Linked DNA regions of Danio rerio. The protein of the gene in region 3 purifies or fractionates together with the protein of the main gene of each other region. This does not show direct contact. Links are inferred from orthologs where the notes say so. Each region holds a gene or a part of one and is shown on either strand. Other genes may lie near its edges. The genes, in order: u2surp, rbm17 and cherp.

The links.
Region 1: the proteins of cherp (region 3) and u2surp purify together in Homo sapiens (affinity purification with mass spectrometry; 4 studies listed by BioGRID and IntAct, with this or other methods). This does not show direct contact. The link is inferred for Danio rerio from reciprocal best matches to the Homo sapiens genes CHERP and U2SURP.
Region 2: the proteins of cherp (region 3) and rbm17 purify together in Homo sapiens (co-immunoprecipitation; 4 studies listed by BioGRID and IntAct, counting the BioPlex papers as one, with this or other methods). This does not show direct contact. The link is inferred for Danio rerio from reciprocal best matches to the Homo sapiens genes CHERP and RBM17.

The regions. Positions count from the first base shown.
Region 1 is NC_133177.1:29,978,952-29,983,726, forward strand, and holds the start of u2surp (U2 snRNP-associated SURP motif-containing protein), read right to left. Parts: upstream 2,913-4,775; 5' UTR 2,881-2,912; coding exon 2,836-2,880; intron 736-2,835; coding exon 637-735; intron 1-636.
Region 2 is NC_133179.1:26,166,236-26,170,910, reverse strand, and holds the start of rbm17 (splicing factor 45), read left to right. Parts: upstream 1-1,636; 5' UTR 1,637-1,720; intron 1,721-2,049; 5' UTR 2,050-2,073; coding exon 2,074-2,196; intron 2,197-4,322; coding exon 4,323-4,439; intron 4,440-4,675. UniProt on the Homo sapiens protein: Splice factor that binds to the single-stranded 3'AG at the exon/intron border and promotes its utilization in the second catalytic step. Involved in the regulation of alternative splicing and the utilization of cryptic splice sites.
Region 3 is NC_133197.1:5,173,019-5,177,529, forward strand, and holds the start of cherp (calcium homeostasis endoplasmic reticulum protein), read right to left. Parts: upstream 3,224-4,511; 5' UTR 3,046-3,223; coding exon 3,021-3,045; intron 1,624-3,020; coding exon 1,450-1,623; intron 1,105-1,449; coding exon 1,069-1,104; intron 1-1,068. UniProt on the Homo sapiens protein: Involved in calcium homeostasis, growth and proliferation.

The DNA.
Region 1 (4,775 bases), on a different chromosome or scaffold from region 3:
TACTCTGCTTCAAGTGTTTTTGTTTTCGCAATTGTTCAAACTTGACGTTTTCAGGATGATACAACTATACTAGTAATATAGTTATGTTCATCTAAACATAAGTGTGGTGATGACATTAATATTTGTTAGTTTAAGTTGTTAAAATGTCTGCTTTGTTTTATGAAACAGCAGAGCATGCTTGGTCACTTTCAGAAGTTGTAGTGATGCTTTATTTTTACGTAAATAATATGAATGATATATAGGTTAGAACATTTAAAAATATATATATATTGCATATCACATTTCTTTATTATTGCAATATTAAGCAACCAAAAAATTTAGGTAAACCAAAATTGGTCATACGCAAAAAATAAGTTTTTCTTTTATTGTAAACCAACACCATGACGACTTCTAAAACACTAAAGCATGGCAAAAAAAACACACTATACCTTTCAATATTTCAACCAAACTAAACAAATATAAGAAGAAACATGAAGATCATCACTAGAAAACTTAAGACAAATTAAACTGTACTGAAATATAATTTGATAACTTGATACTTCAATGAAAGCGAATGGTTACAGAGAATAACAAGCCATTGACAAGTGCATGCTAACATTTTGACTGGTAAGACCTTACTGGATCTCTTTTTCTTACCTTCTTCTTGATTTCATCTTGCTCTTTTTTACTTAGTGTTCTTTTTGCAACTGCCATCTTGCCAATACTGAAAGCCTTTAACTTACTTTCCAATAAAGCCTGCATAAAAACATATAAACAATGGATTATATACTGACAGGCATAACATCACTTGTCTAAAGATACATCTTTAACTTCTAATCTTATAAAAAGAGATGTTAATACATTTCTATAGTGCCTAAAACAAAGGAAAAACAAGAAATTGTGAAAAGTATTTATTTAAGGGTTTGTTCAACCCTTGTGCACTGTTCAAAATGTACTACCCTTTGTTATGTTCGGTATAAAACGTCCATTGAACTAAACTGCAGTAAAAATGCATCAAAAAAAATATTTTTAAAAGTTTGCATAAATCTATTAATCAACCTCAGTCCTGCTCAAAACAACTTAATTGTTTTGAAAGTTACAGGATTTTAACTCTTTAAATGCCAAGTTCACAAATGAGGTCACTGATGAAAAAAAACACGCAAATTGCCGTATTTTCTATAAAAAAAAAATAATAAAAAAAGTAGTTGTGAGCTGGATAAACTTTTACCTTTTATTACAGTCTTGAACATGTGAACTATTAGTACTAACATTAGCTGGTTGGATTTTTATTTTTCCACCCTAATTTACCGTTGGTGGCTGTTTTTGCCACGTTGACTTCCATTATCACCAAATTTGATGGAGCATAAACACTTTGTTTTTATTTAAGCAATGTAGTTCAGAGATGCATATTTTGATTTTCTCAGACACATCAAGGTAAGTACAAACGTCACTAACACACACCTTATTTGCTGTTATACTCCATATAAAACCCATAAACTAAGCTTTTTTTTGCACAGGCCTATCTAAAGGGTTATTGGTGCCAAATGATGATCAACAGTAAAAATTACAAATAGTGTCTCTTCCTAACAGGGAAAACAACCAATAATCAAAAATGCATGATTATATGGTGTTATGGTTTTGTAATAAAAAAATGTGGTTATAATGTAAGTCAATAGGGCAAAAACAGTAAATTAGGAAAAAAAAATTAAAATCAATGAATCAAAGGCAATGTTGTTTTACATGTCCAAGAATTTGATAAAAGGGTTGAAAAAAGTCCACAATTACTTTTCATATTGAAAATACATCATTATGTGTGTTTCTTTCACCAAATCAGTGACATCATTTATGAATTTGGCAATTAAAGAGTTAAAAAAATGTAATATTCCAATCAATTTAGTAGTATTGATCAAGACTGTTGCTTAACAAATTTCGAAAGCATTTTAAAAAGACTTATCTAATGCATTTCTACAGCAGTTTAATTTATTGGATGTTTTCATCGCAAACATGACAAAAGCGTAGTCAATTTTCTGAAAATAAGTGTCAAAACAATATTTGTCACCAAACATCATTCTGCTAGCTGAAACAGAAAAACTTATGGCCAAATTAAGACTCAAAATCCCCCAACAGTACATAAGGGTTAACTTCTATGACCAGCCATCAAGATTGAAAACATTAATTTATCAGAGTATCAAAAAAAATATGAGCTGAATTGTCTTTTATGAGTACTGTTACGACTAAAAGTACAATATAAATGACAACAAAAACGTGTATTTACAGTATCTCAGGGTATTTGACACGTTCACGTGACTGGCAATATTGGTCACTATGTAGCGAAACTTGTTAACGTTAAGTTAGCTCTTCAAAGCAAAACTGACATCTTAGCACAAATGTAAACATGCAAATTCGCGAATTTGATATCCACACAGCATCAACAATTCTTATCTCCTATTTAACGATACATGTGTGTTCAAAACGTTCAGAAATCAATACAATACTGTAATCTTCATAAACACTACGTTCCGTGTTAGCATTGTCATCACACAATAAAAACACAGCAACTTCGTTCATGTTCTGTGTTGGCTTCAAACGTATAATAACAAAAAACAAGCTTAGTTAAGTGTAGCATATGTACCAAACATATTTTAGTATATTGCAGATCAAATCTGTGCACCGCCGGTGTCTAGCTAACAACACTGCTAGCGAGTTAGCATCACAACTGAGCTGCTTAATGGACCTTTCTCAAATGCCAGAAAAACACACGACTCAGTCAATCACATAATTATTGAGCGTTTCGTATCATAAACCAAAAATATCGATTTTAATATGCTAGAATAAAACGTAAAAGTGATAAAATACCTTAGAGTTGCCTTTCTGGGCCCCACCTGGCGTTTTGTCCGCCATTTTGCCCGACACTGTGAAAGCGCGTGAGGCGCGTTCTCTCTCTCTCTCTCTCTCTCTCTCTCTCTCTCTCTCTCTCTCTCTCTCTCACTCACTCACTCACTCACTCACATACACACACACACACACACACACACACACACACACACACACACACTAAAAAAAACAAGTCGATTTGACATCTATATCAGAAGCCGATCTTGTGTGTGACTTTAGTCCTCAAATCTGAGCACAGACTGTGTTGCACAAGACATTGAGTTTCAGAATGTATTTTTAAGGGATTGTTTTTGTGCATGCTTATGATACTGGTTTTAGCTTGTTCAAACTGGTGTTCAGCTGATTTTAACTTCTAGGTTAAGAAGACAATATACTGTATATGGGCAAGCCTACATCATTTTGCCACTGTTGCCAACCATTGTTGTGTTAAGTTCTAACTTGGATGCAGTAAGATACAGTTCTGCATAAAGCAGGACTCTGGTGACTCAGCATGACGTTTTAAACTTTGCATTGGGCATTGCATTAAATTTATTTGACAGTTAACCCAAAAATTAACATTTACTTATATTTACTCCCCATCAGTTGGTCTTAAATGGTTATACAAAAAATAAAAAATGAAGAACATTGGATAGCCACTAACATCCACTGAAATTAAACAAATAGCCTACTATGAAAGTCAGTTCTACTAGCTTCAAAATATCTTCGTTTGTGTTTATCAGAAGAAAGAAACTCAAACAGGCTCGTGACAAGTGAAGGTCGAGTAAATGATATATCATATTTAAGTGAACTATATTTAGTCAGGTAGTACTGTGTAAATTTATGCAAACTCTATTAATTAGTTACCGGCCAAATTTACCCAAATGTGTTAAAATAAAATGGACTTTTAGTTACAGCTAAAATGGATTCATAAATATGTTTGTATTCAATGTGAGTTTTTCCCTGACTGTTTATGTGTGCGTGGTAATGAGGCATGTATAGGCCTATATGTGTACATGCAAACATAGTTGAGCACACATGGCTCACACATAAATTGAAAAGACAAAGGGTGAAAGAGACATTTTGGAAGAAGTGATAGGTGTTGAAGTAGTCTAATGTTAAACGTTAAGAGAACAATGTCCACCTGTTCTCCTGTCTTAAATGTTTTTTGTTGGAACGAGGTGGTGGTTGTTTTATCTCCTATGGTTTTGCGTAGTACTTTCAATTTTGTGATGTTTGTTGTAATGATTAGATACTGTTGTAATGATTGTTAGATACTTTACCCAAAGTTGTGGTTCCTTTTTTATTATCCTATTTTAGATATTTCTTCTTAATAAAAAATATAGGTAAGAAAAACTGATAAGCAGCATAAAAATGTAGCCTTTCATGAATCATTCAACTTATGAACCAGTTTGCATTACATTGCTGATCAGAGATCACTCCTACATTTCACACATTGGAAAAGCAGAAGCAGCTTTTGAAGAAATGTTGCAGGAACTATTAAATCATAGTTGAAAGGGTGACAACTCTTTTTTTAATATTTATGAAAAAACTATATTTTTTGTAACATTTCTAACAGATATTCTATATCATGTTGTATTGTTTTTCACTGAATAGATAAAAGGTAGACATAAAATATGCTAGAATATTGCTAACCATGCAGTTTTTTATGAGTTTTATAAAAATGGGGTTTATGCTGAATAGCTGATTTGAGATCACTCCTCATGTTCAGTGCATTTAAGCAAATGAGAAGCATGTTATGAACATGTTGAAATGACTGATAAATCCTTCTTGTTGATAGCGAGATGTATTCTGGAATTCTGTTTATTCAGTTTTAAGCAGTAGGCCTACTCTCTAATGTTAACACGAAGACTTTATTTGTTACAAGAATTCTAACAGAAGTTTTAGATTTGATCACATTGAGA
Region 2 (4,675 bases), on a different chromosome or scaffold from region 3:
TTTAATTCAATCAGGCTAATTTTGCTTTTAGCTATAATTAAGAGGATCTCATGAAATTAATACTAATGTAGGCTAATGTTCTTTATTTTATCCATATTAAATCAAATAAAGCCGGATCAACTCTTTAGCAGAAAAAGCTTGCTTAATGTCAAAATCCTCCCTTTGAGAGATATGTGAAAATTTTGTTTATTTACTTAATTTGGGAATAGTTTTAGACTATCTGCAAATCTATTCTTCATATCAAATTATTGACTTTCTTGGATACCGTCTATACATTTTATTTTATTCTATTTGTAATTGGAAATACAAAATATAAATACAACAAAATTACATTAAACCCTACAAATTATGTATCAGATGCGGAAGGCTTAACACCAGAACGCCATATTAGGTCCAGAAAAAAGAATATACCAAAAAAAAAAAATAAAATACAAAGAGTGTAAACTTACAAAAATCATCCTAACTAAAAATGAACAAATGAACGAACAAAACAACAATATAGTACAGATATCATCTATACCAAGTTAAATAATATAAATAATTAAAAACATTTAAGGCGGTTTTTGTTTTCATTTTAGCCAGGACATCCAAAAATTGTTTAGTTCTTCTAAAAAACCAAAAGTAGTGGAGGGGTTTTGAAATATTTGCATTTATGAATATAATAGTTTTCTAATATAATAACAATATTTATCAATGATAATATAGTATTTGTGTAAAAAAGAACCATCTTTCATAATTTCACATCTCACATCAGTACATCTTGTAATGTGGTAGTCAAACCTTCAGCATCCACATTCTTGCATTTAATTATCTTTTTTATTGAACATTCAACAAGAATACAAAAATATACAGAAAAGGTATCAATTCTTTAACAACAAAAATAGACAACAGAACAAAACAAAAAGAGAAACAAAAGATTCTGCCAGGGGTAATATAAACAACAAAAATCTATCTTAAAGCAAGGTCACAGTGATGTATAAAAGGTCACATACAATACAGTCTGCTGGGTATTATAGAAAAGAGACAATACTGTAAGATTCACATAGTGTTATTAATTTTAAAGCTTTAACATTGCTGGAAGTAGAGATTGTATTCAAATAATACTTCAAATCTTTACAAAAAATAAGAAAAAACATTTGCACTTGTGTATGAAAAGATTTGCTAGTGAAAGAAATAGATTTATTAGAAAATCTTTATTTTTATTTATTTATTTTTTATTGAATACAAGAATAATAACATTGAAGAAAAAAATACAATAGCAAAAAAAGAAATGAGAAATAAGAAAAAAAAAACTTTACAAAGCCTCGATCATTAAGAAAAAATATAAACTTTAAGAATTTTTCAAGTAATAACCATGCTCTCTTCCATTGAATGCAGTCAGAAAAATTGATTTAGAAAACTGTACATCTTGGGGAGGTATATAGCCTACAGAGTTATGTAACAATCGTCTGACATGTCTGTTGGCACAATTTTTTTTTTTTTTTTTTTTTTGATAAAAAAAAGACACTCCGTCCAAAAAATGTTTAGGCATAATTGTTTTCCTCTCATTAAAGTAAAGAAACATTATTAGAAAATCTTAAATACTTTGATATCGCTGCCATTCTGACGTGAATACCTTTGGCTATGCGTAGTGTGACGTCATATGTTCGCGACGTCTCCATTGTAGCATGTTACGCTAACCAAGAGTGCATAACTTGTAGAGGATTTATTTTCGTGAAAGGTGTGTATCTTATGTCAAATATTCAACTATTAAAGTGTATGCGCTGTTACAAGATGAGGCAGCAACCATTTGTTTATTAAAAGCAGTAAATATTGCTAGCGGTCTACGTTATATGTGAATGCTAAACGTAGCTCATACATATTACTTATTATAAGGACCATTATTAATCCTATATAGCTTATTTAAAGTTAAATGTTTGTTTTCTGTTTTTTATGTCTAATCTATAGTTTATGTGATAATCTAGCATTTTCTGTTCTAGCTTTTATAACATGGTTGGCTGATTACTGTTTGGATTACGTTTATGATGCATGTATTATTATGATTTTCAGTGTTTTTAGTGGAAAGGAGGAGAAATGTCTTTATATGATGATTTGGGGGTCGCAACGAGCGACGCAAAAACAGAAGGATGGTCTAAAAACTTCAAACTGCTTCAGTCTCAACTGAAAGTGAAGAAAGCTGCACTGACACAAGCAAAGGTTGGTCAATGTTTAATTCTTGATAAAACTGTTTTATTAGTAAATATTTTTATTAATAAATGAAAAATGTATGTATTAATTGCAACTACATTAAATCTGAATATATCAGGGAATTTGAAATTAGTTAGTTATTTAGGTATTTTAGTCTGTGTCAATGATTTTGTTTACAGTTGTGAATTGAGAGAAAGTTGGTTTTATATTCACACATTCAGACTTTCTTAATAATATAATTTCAGAAAAGCATTCTTTGCTAATTCTAAATGGTGAAATCATATTAGCAGCCAGTGACTATCAAAGTACAACATCGTTCAGAGTCAAATAAGCGGTGCTAATGTTATTTTTGAATCATACTTACATGTGATTCCAGACCAAATATTTAAAGTGCCATGGTAAACTAAATAAGGAGCATTCTCATAAGTAGTTAATGGATCATAAATCTTATGGTACGGATCAAACTAAACTTAGAACCTGTAATTGCAATAAAAATACAATTCAAGAAAGAAATATCTGAAAAAAAGGAAAATATTTAATAAAATGATCTGATAATGCTAAATATAGAAATCAACATCTTGTACAACATATCGCATTTACAACGTATGGTAATTAATGATTCAACAATTCACATGTAAAACTTCATGTTTGGTTATAAGTGCATCATTTTTGAAACCCTATATTCAGTGACATAATTTTGATGGTTGTTTGTCGTTACACAATGTAATTGCTACAACATTCACCAGTGCCAAGTTCCATTGAATGGTGATTTAAATCTTTACCAGAAACATCGGTGTTTATGTCTGTACTAGAAACTGTTCTCCCAGCACTTCTGTGTTATTAAATTGTTTGTAACTAGTTGAAAAAGTGTAAAAACTGATTCTCTCTGATCTGATCAAACACAGATTTTAATGCAACGCTTCGAAGGATTAATGAACATATGCAGATCATTATCATTTAATATTCATGTTGCGCGGGTTTGAATTGAGGTCACGATCTTTTAATGTTGAATTGTGCAGCTTTACACTGAATGCTTTAATGCAGGCTAAACAAATAGTGACAGAAAACACTTCTTAAGAAACTAACACTAACCTAAGAAAACATTTAGTCCCACCACTTGTTCCGTCATCACTATATTTTACAGGGAACCCAAAATGCTTTCATACACGTGATTTGAATGTTACGGGAGGCAATCTCTCTGCAATTGTTATAAATATTGGATTAACCTACAAGTTTAAAAAAGTTATTAATCTGTGGGTCATGTGCATACCGTACTGTGGGTTGTGATCCGTAAGGATCCGTTACACCCCTTGTCACAAGTCATCACTGAACGAGTGAGTATGAAACCAACTTTACCTCTATACAGTTGTGTATGTAATTGTAAATCCTTGTTTCTTAATGATCTTTTTTGTCTGTTTATTTTACTGTTATCATTTTCTCATTTCCAAATCAAACTGCACCAAATTGGGTAAAATGTGTCATTTAAAATTTTAAAGTTCAAAATTCCACTCACATTTCTCTTTATAAATTTGTTTTAAACTAGGTGAAATAAAACAGGACAAAATAAATCACAAAAATGTTCCCATTGAAACTCATTTAAACTTTACAATTATATCCCTTTGACATTTAAGCAAAATGTCATACATTCTTTGTTTCATATTTTGACTTCAAAATTCTAAACATTTATTTAAATATATTTAAAAATATATTTTGCTATTTAATTAAATAATTTTAAAAAATTAAGATGTATAGTATTTTGCACATATTTTGGCATATTTTTCAGCTTTGAAGCTTTCTTACTTTCTTTCTTTCTTTTTTTCCTTATTTGTTTCTTTCTCTTTCAGCTTTGTTGAGTAAACGAAATTACAATTATGTGATTATATTCGTGTGGATATGTTTGTATTGTGTTTTTTTTTTACCTTATAATGTTACAAATATATTTTAAAAGGAATCATGAAATTGATTTATGATTTATGAAATGTTTGAACAGTTAGCATTTTATTTGACTGATAGTTTTGTCATCTAATGACATGTTTACTTTTTGTTTTAATTTCTGCACAAGGATTAATTAAGACAAGTGAAACCAATAGGTGTTATAACCGAAAAGTTTTATTGACAAATGACTTGTTTTGCAGACCCAGAGGACGAGACAGTCCAATGTTCTTGCTCCAGTTATTGATCTGAAGAGGGGAAGTGGAGGGGATGACAGACAGATCTCTGATACTCCTCCGCACATTGCTGCAGGGATGAAGGTAAACCGTGTCTAGATCCTATTTAGGAAAAATAGAGTATATAAAAATAAGTATAAGTAGTAGTAAGATTGCTACTAATTAAAATTATTTAAAAAATCTAATATTACTATGGGAAAGCATTTAAGCAGAATTTAATAATGACGACAGTAATCAATGCATTACATGAAATAAATTAAATCACACTGGTTTTAATTTGGTAATTAATTTTTACATCAAGATCCACAACAGCAATGCAC
Region 3 (4,511 bases):
TAATTACAAATGTGAGACTGAATTACAAAAAAATCTATACAATTTTTATTGCAAGTAATAGTCACAACTGCAAGATGTAGACTAGATTAAAAGATTTGCGAAAAATATAAAAAATTGGAAAAAATAGTGTAAACTTTTATAGTAAGAATTAGTCACAACTGCGAGACGTAGACTTGAAATTGTGCAATACGAATTAAAATTGCAAGAAAATCTATAAATGTTCAATCACAAGAGATGCAGACTCAGAACAGCGCGATATAGAATACGAATTGTAAACAATTGCAAGTTGTAGACTCAGATTTGCTCAAATAGAAGCCGATAATCTTTTATTTGCAAGACAAAAAGTTGCAAATGCAAAATGTAGACTCAGAATCGAACAATAAGCTAAAAGGTTTGGAGACTTTTACAAAATTGCAAGCAATAGTCAAAAAAGCTAAATCTAGACACAGAACTGTGAAAAGGTCAAACTGTGAGGCAAATATAACAAATAATGAGATAAGTCACAATTATATTAATATTCATGGCAGAAACAAGATTAAAAGTTCATAGAAACATGCAGAAAAATCACTCATGCTTGTTTGTTCTCCTCTGATTTTCCATGTCTGGAGATTGTAGCATAAAAAACTCAAACAAACGGGAAGCAAAAACATTTTAGGCTACGGGGGAAAAGAAACCAGAGTCCAAAGAGAAAATCTGCTGGCTTGTGGCTTCCTTAAAAGCTGAATAAATATTAAACAATAATATTTACATTTGCAAACAGAAAGTACAAAACAAAAAGCTGCACATTCTTACATATCGTTTATGTAGCAAAAAAAAAAAACAGTGCAAGAAAGTAGAGTTCGCTTGAAAGCTTCTTTTAAATCTCAAAATAAATGCAATAATAACAGTTAAGCTTTTGCAACCGTTTTATAGCATTTAAACCAGTTATAAAGGTTGAACGCTAACTTAAAGATGTCATTTATAACATAATCTGACAGCAAAATAAGGATTTTAAGCACTGATGTTGCAGAAGAACTCCATGAATACCAGGCAAAATGAAACATTTCTGAACATCGGTCTAATAAATACCTTCCATATTATATTCATCATCATGAGTGCCAGAATCTATAAAGGAGAAAAGCACACCTTAAACACGAACATATGCAGAACACAGCTGTCAGACAAATCTAGATCTTTGGTTAGCAGCAAGGTTATTAATGTTAGCAAAAACAAACAAAAAAAAGTTCCTTTAAAGTGAAACAAACAAACAAATGTTATATGAATTTTTAAAACGGAAGTAAGCAATATTTAAATATATAAAATATCAAACATTTTCAAAAATGAATATAATATTCAATACTACAATGGGAACAAGCCAGTTTAAAAATCGCAAAAATACACCTACGTAAAGCTTGTACTAAAAATAACACTAGTTAGTAAATAAATGTGACTTGCGGTTCTTTCACGTACGCTGCTGCTGTTCGATGGCCAGTTTATATTTGTAGTAGCCGAAAAATTCCCCTCCGAACAGGAACGAGAACTTGGCGTTGTCCTTCTGCTTCTCCATGGTCATCTTCTCAAATTCGGGTCCATTTCTGGCGACAAACTGCGCCAGTTTGTCAATGACATTGCGCAGCTCTTGATCTGATGGGGGGGAAATTAAAGAGAAAAACATCAAAATAAAACAATTACATTTTCAAATTCACAGTTACATTTTTTACATAATATCATTGAAAATAATCGTAAGGCTAACAATTTAAGTACCAATTTCCGCTATTAACTTGTAGCTTATAACCACACATTGGCTGTTTATCACTTATAAGAAATTACCATATTGTAGATGCCTAATCCTATCCAATAACCTACCTAAACTAAAGTATCTTACTAACTATAAAAAACTCAGGAAATTAGCAGTTTATTGAGCTAAAATTCTTAGAAAACAATCTTAATTCTAAAAATTTACGTACCAATTCCTGCTATTAACTTCTAGCTCACCACTATACATTGGCTGTTTATCACTTATAACGTATGACCATTATGTACATGCCTAATCCTACCCAATAGGCTGCCTAAACCAAACTATCCAACTAACTATCAAAAAACAGCAAATGAGCAGTTTATTGAGCTAAAATTTGTGAAAAAATAATTTGGTTTTCATACTCGCAGTTACATTTTTTAAATATTTTACATAATATCATTGAAAATAATCTTAAGGCTAACAATTTAAGTACCAATTTCTGCTTTTAACTACTAGCTTATTACTATAGATTGGCTGTATATCACTTAAGGCATGACCATATTGTACATGCCTAATTCAATCCAATAACTAAACCAAACTATCTTACTAACTAAAAAAACTGCAAATTAGCAGTTTATTGAGCTAAAACTTATAGAAAACAATTAAGTTTTCACATTTTAAAAACATTTTACATAATAATATTGAAATTAATCGTAACTCTAACGATTTAAGTACCAATTCCCACTATTAACTACTGGCTTAACATTGGCTGTTTATCACTTATAAAGTATGACCATATTGTACATGCCTAATCCTATGCAATACCTAAACCAAACTATCTGACTAACTGCAAAAAAGAACAGCAAATTAGCAGTTTATTGAGCTAGAATTCTTAGTTAATTATTTGATAATAGCGAGAATTGTACCTTTAAAAAAAGTGTGACCAAATTAATCATGAGATATACTTAATATATAATATTGATGCTATCTTTCAATCTGTTCAGACTTAACTTAGATAATAATGAAATTTTCATTTAAATTAACTACTAAATACAATGTTTTTGCTGAAAACGTTGATCCTATTGACAATTATTGCAAAAAAACGTTGTACATTCAATTAATACAGTGGTAGAATATTTGGGTACTTCGTTTCCCATCCTAGCCACACTAAACAGTCAAAAATAAACAAAGCAGAAGTTTAAATCCTCATTTTATACACTAATTGTGTCTATTTGTGTCTGTTTGATTATAATGTGACTTCGCTAGCGTTCGCGCTGCAGTACACGCGCAGGCGCAGTTTTACCTTCTGGAGGCGTGGAAATATCCATATTTCTCAGCAATACAGGCTATTACGACCAGGAATTCACTTATAAGACATCACGCTGAAGCGCGAAACAAAAATATCCAGTTTTAAAAAATCTACGACCACATCTCTATAGGTTTGTTGTGTTTCTGTTCAAGATGAAGCGAGAGGAAACAGAATCTTCACTACTTCCTCCGGTGCGTGGGAGGCGCATGCGCTCTCTTTAAGAAGAGAGGTCTCGTCACAGCGTCAACTGCCGTTGGGAGGTCGTAAATTTGTAAGATTTTTGATAATTATCCCTTCTTTTTTGACATTGTGACACTTTATTATGTATATGAAAGCTGATTACCGTAACAGTAAGTAATCATTAGTATATCTTCGTGTTCTACAGACATTTTTGTAGGCAATTTAGTTTTTTGAAGATGTTTAGCCTCGAAATATGCTAATGCTAATGAAAAAGTGCCGTTAGGTGGAATAAGTTGTAAGATGCTTACAAAATGATGTAGCTGCTAGTATGTTTGGTAAGATAAGCACAGTTAATATTTATACAATTTGATTTTAAAAACAAGTGTAGATATTTTAGATATCCTGTGGTGACCATGGTTGGCTACTCATCTGGGATTTAAAAAATATGGTACAAAAAATTTCAAAAAGAGTCAAGATGTTCTGGAGATGGTATACAAGAACTTGGTTGAAAGTGTTGTGAGTTTTAACATGATTGCATGGTATGGACTGTTGCCAATTAAGGACAAGCAAAAACTGTAGAGTAGTAAAAAATTACCAGTGCAACTGTAGGTAAAGCATAAAGACAACCAAATGAAATTTATTCAATAACAATTAAACAGAAAGCACACATCCTTATTGAGGATTGTTCCCATTCCTTAAATAGAAAAATTCAGTTCTTGTCATCAAAAAGACTTTTTTGTCAAAAAAAAGAGTTTGCATGTTCTCCTCGTGTTTGTGTGGGTTTTCACCAGGCTCTCCGGTTTCCTCCCACAGACCAAAAACATGGAACATAAGTAAACTGACAAATCTAAATTGACAGCAGACACTTCAATGCATTAATCTACTTTCAACATTATCAAGCTGGGGAGTTCTCGAGACCTGCCTGAACTCAGACTCCCCTCTCGCCCTGCAACGGGGGGAGCCCCAGGCTCGAGGATCTCACAAATTCAGGGCTCTATCCTGGGATAGCATGCCAAATATGCTCTATAATCAATCATCAGCTAAGGGCGAACTCTTGAAATACTGGGTTCTAAGTATGTAAAGGGTTTTAAATAGAGTTTTTAATGTGATATATGTCATGACTTTGTATGTATTTGTGTTGCCTGTTTTTTTCTGTGATGTGTGTCGTGTGAATGCTGATGTGGTTGTGTGGTGAAGCCAAAGATAAATTTCCACTTGTGTACAATAAGTAAAGTAAAGTTTCACAGTATTATGATTACTGCTCTAAAATATATTCACTTTAAATGTCTGGGTAACAAACTAATT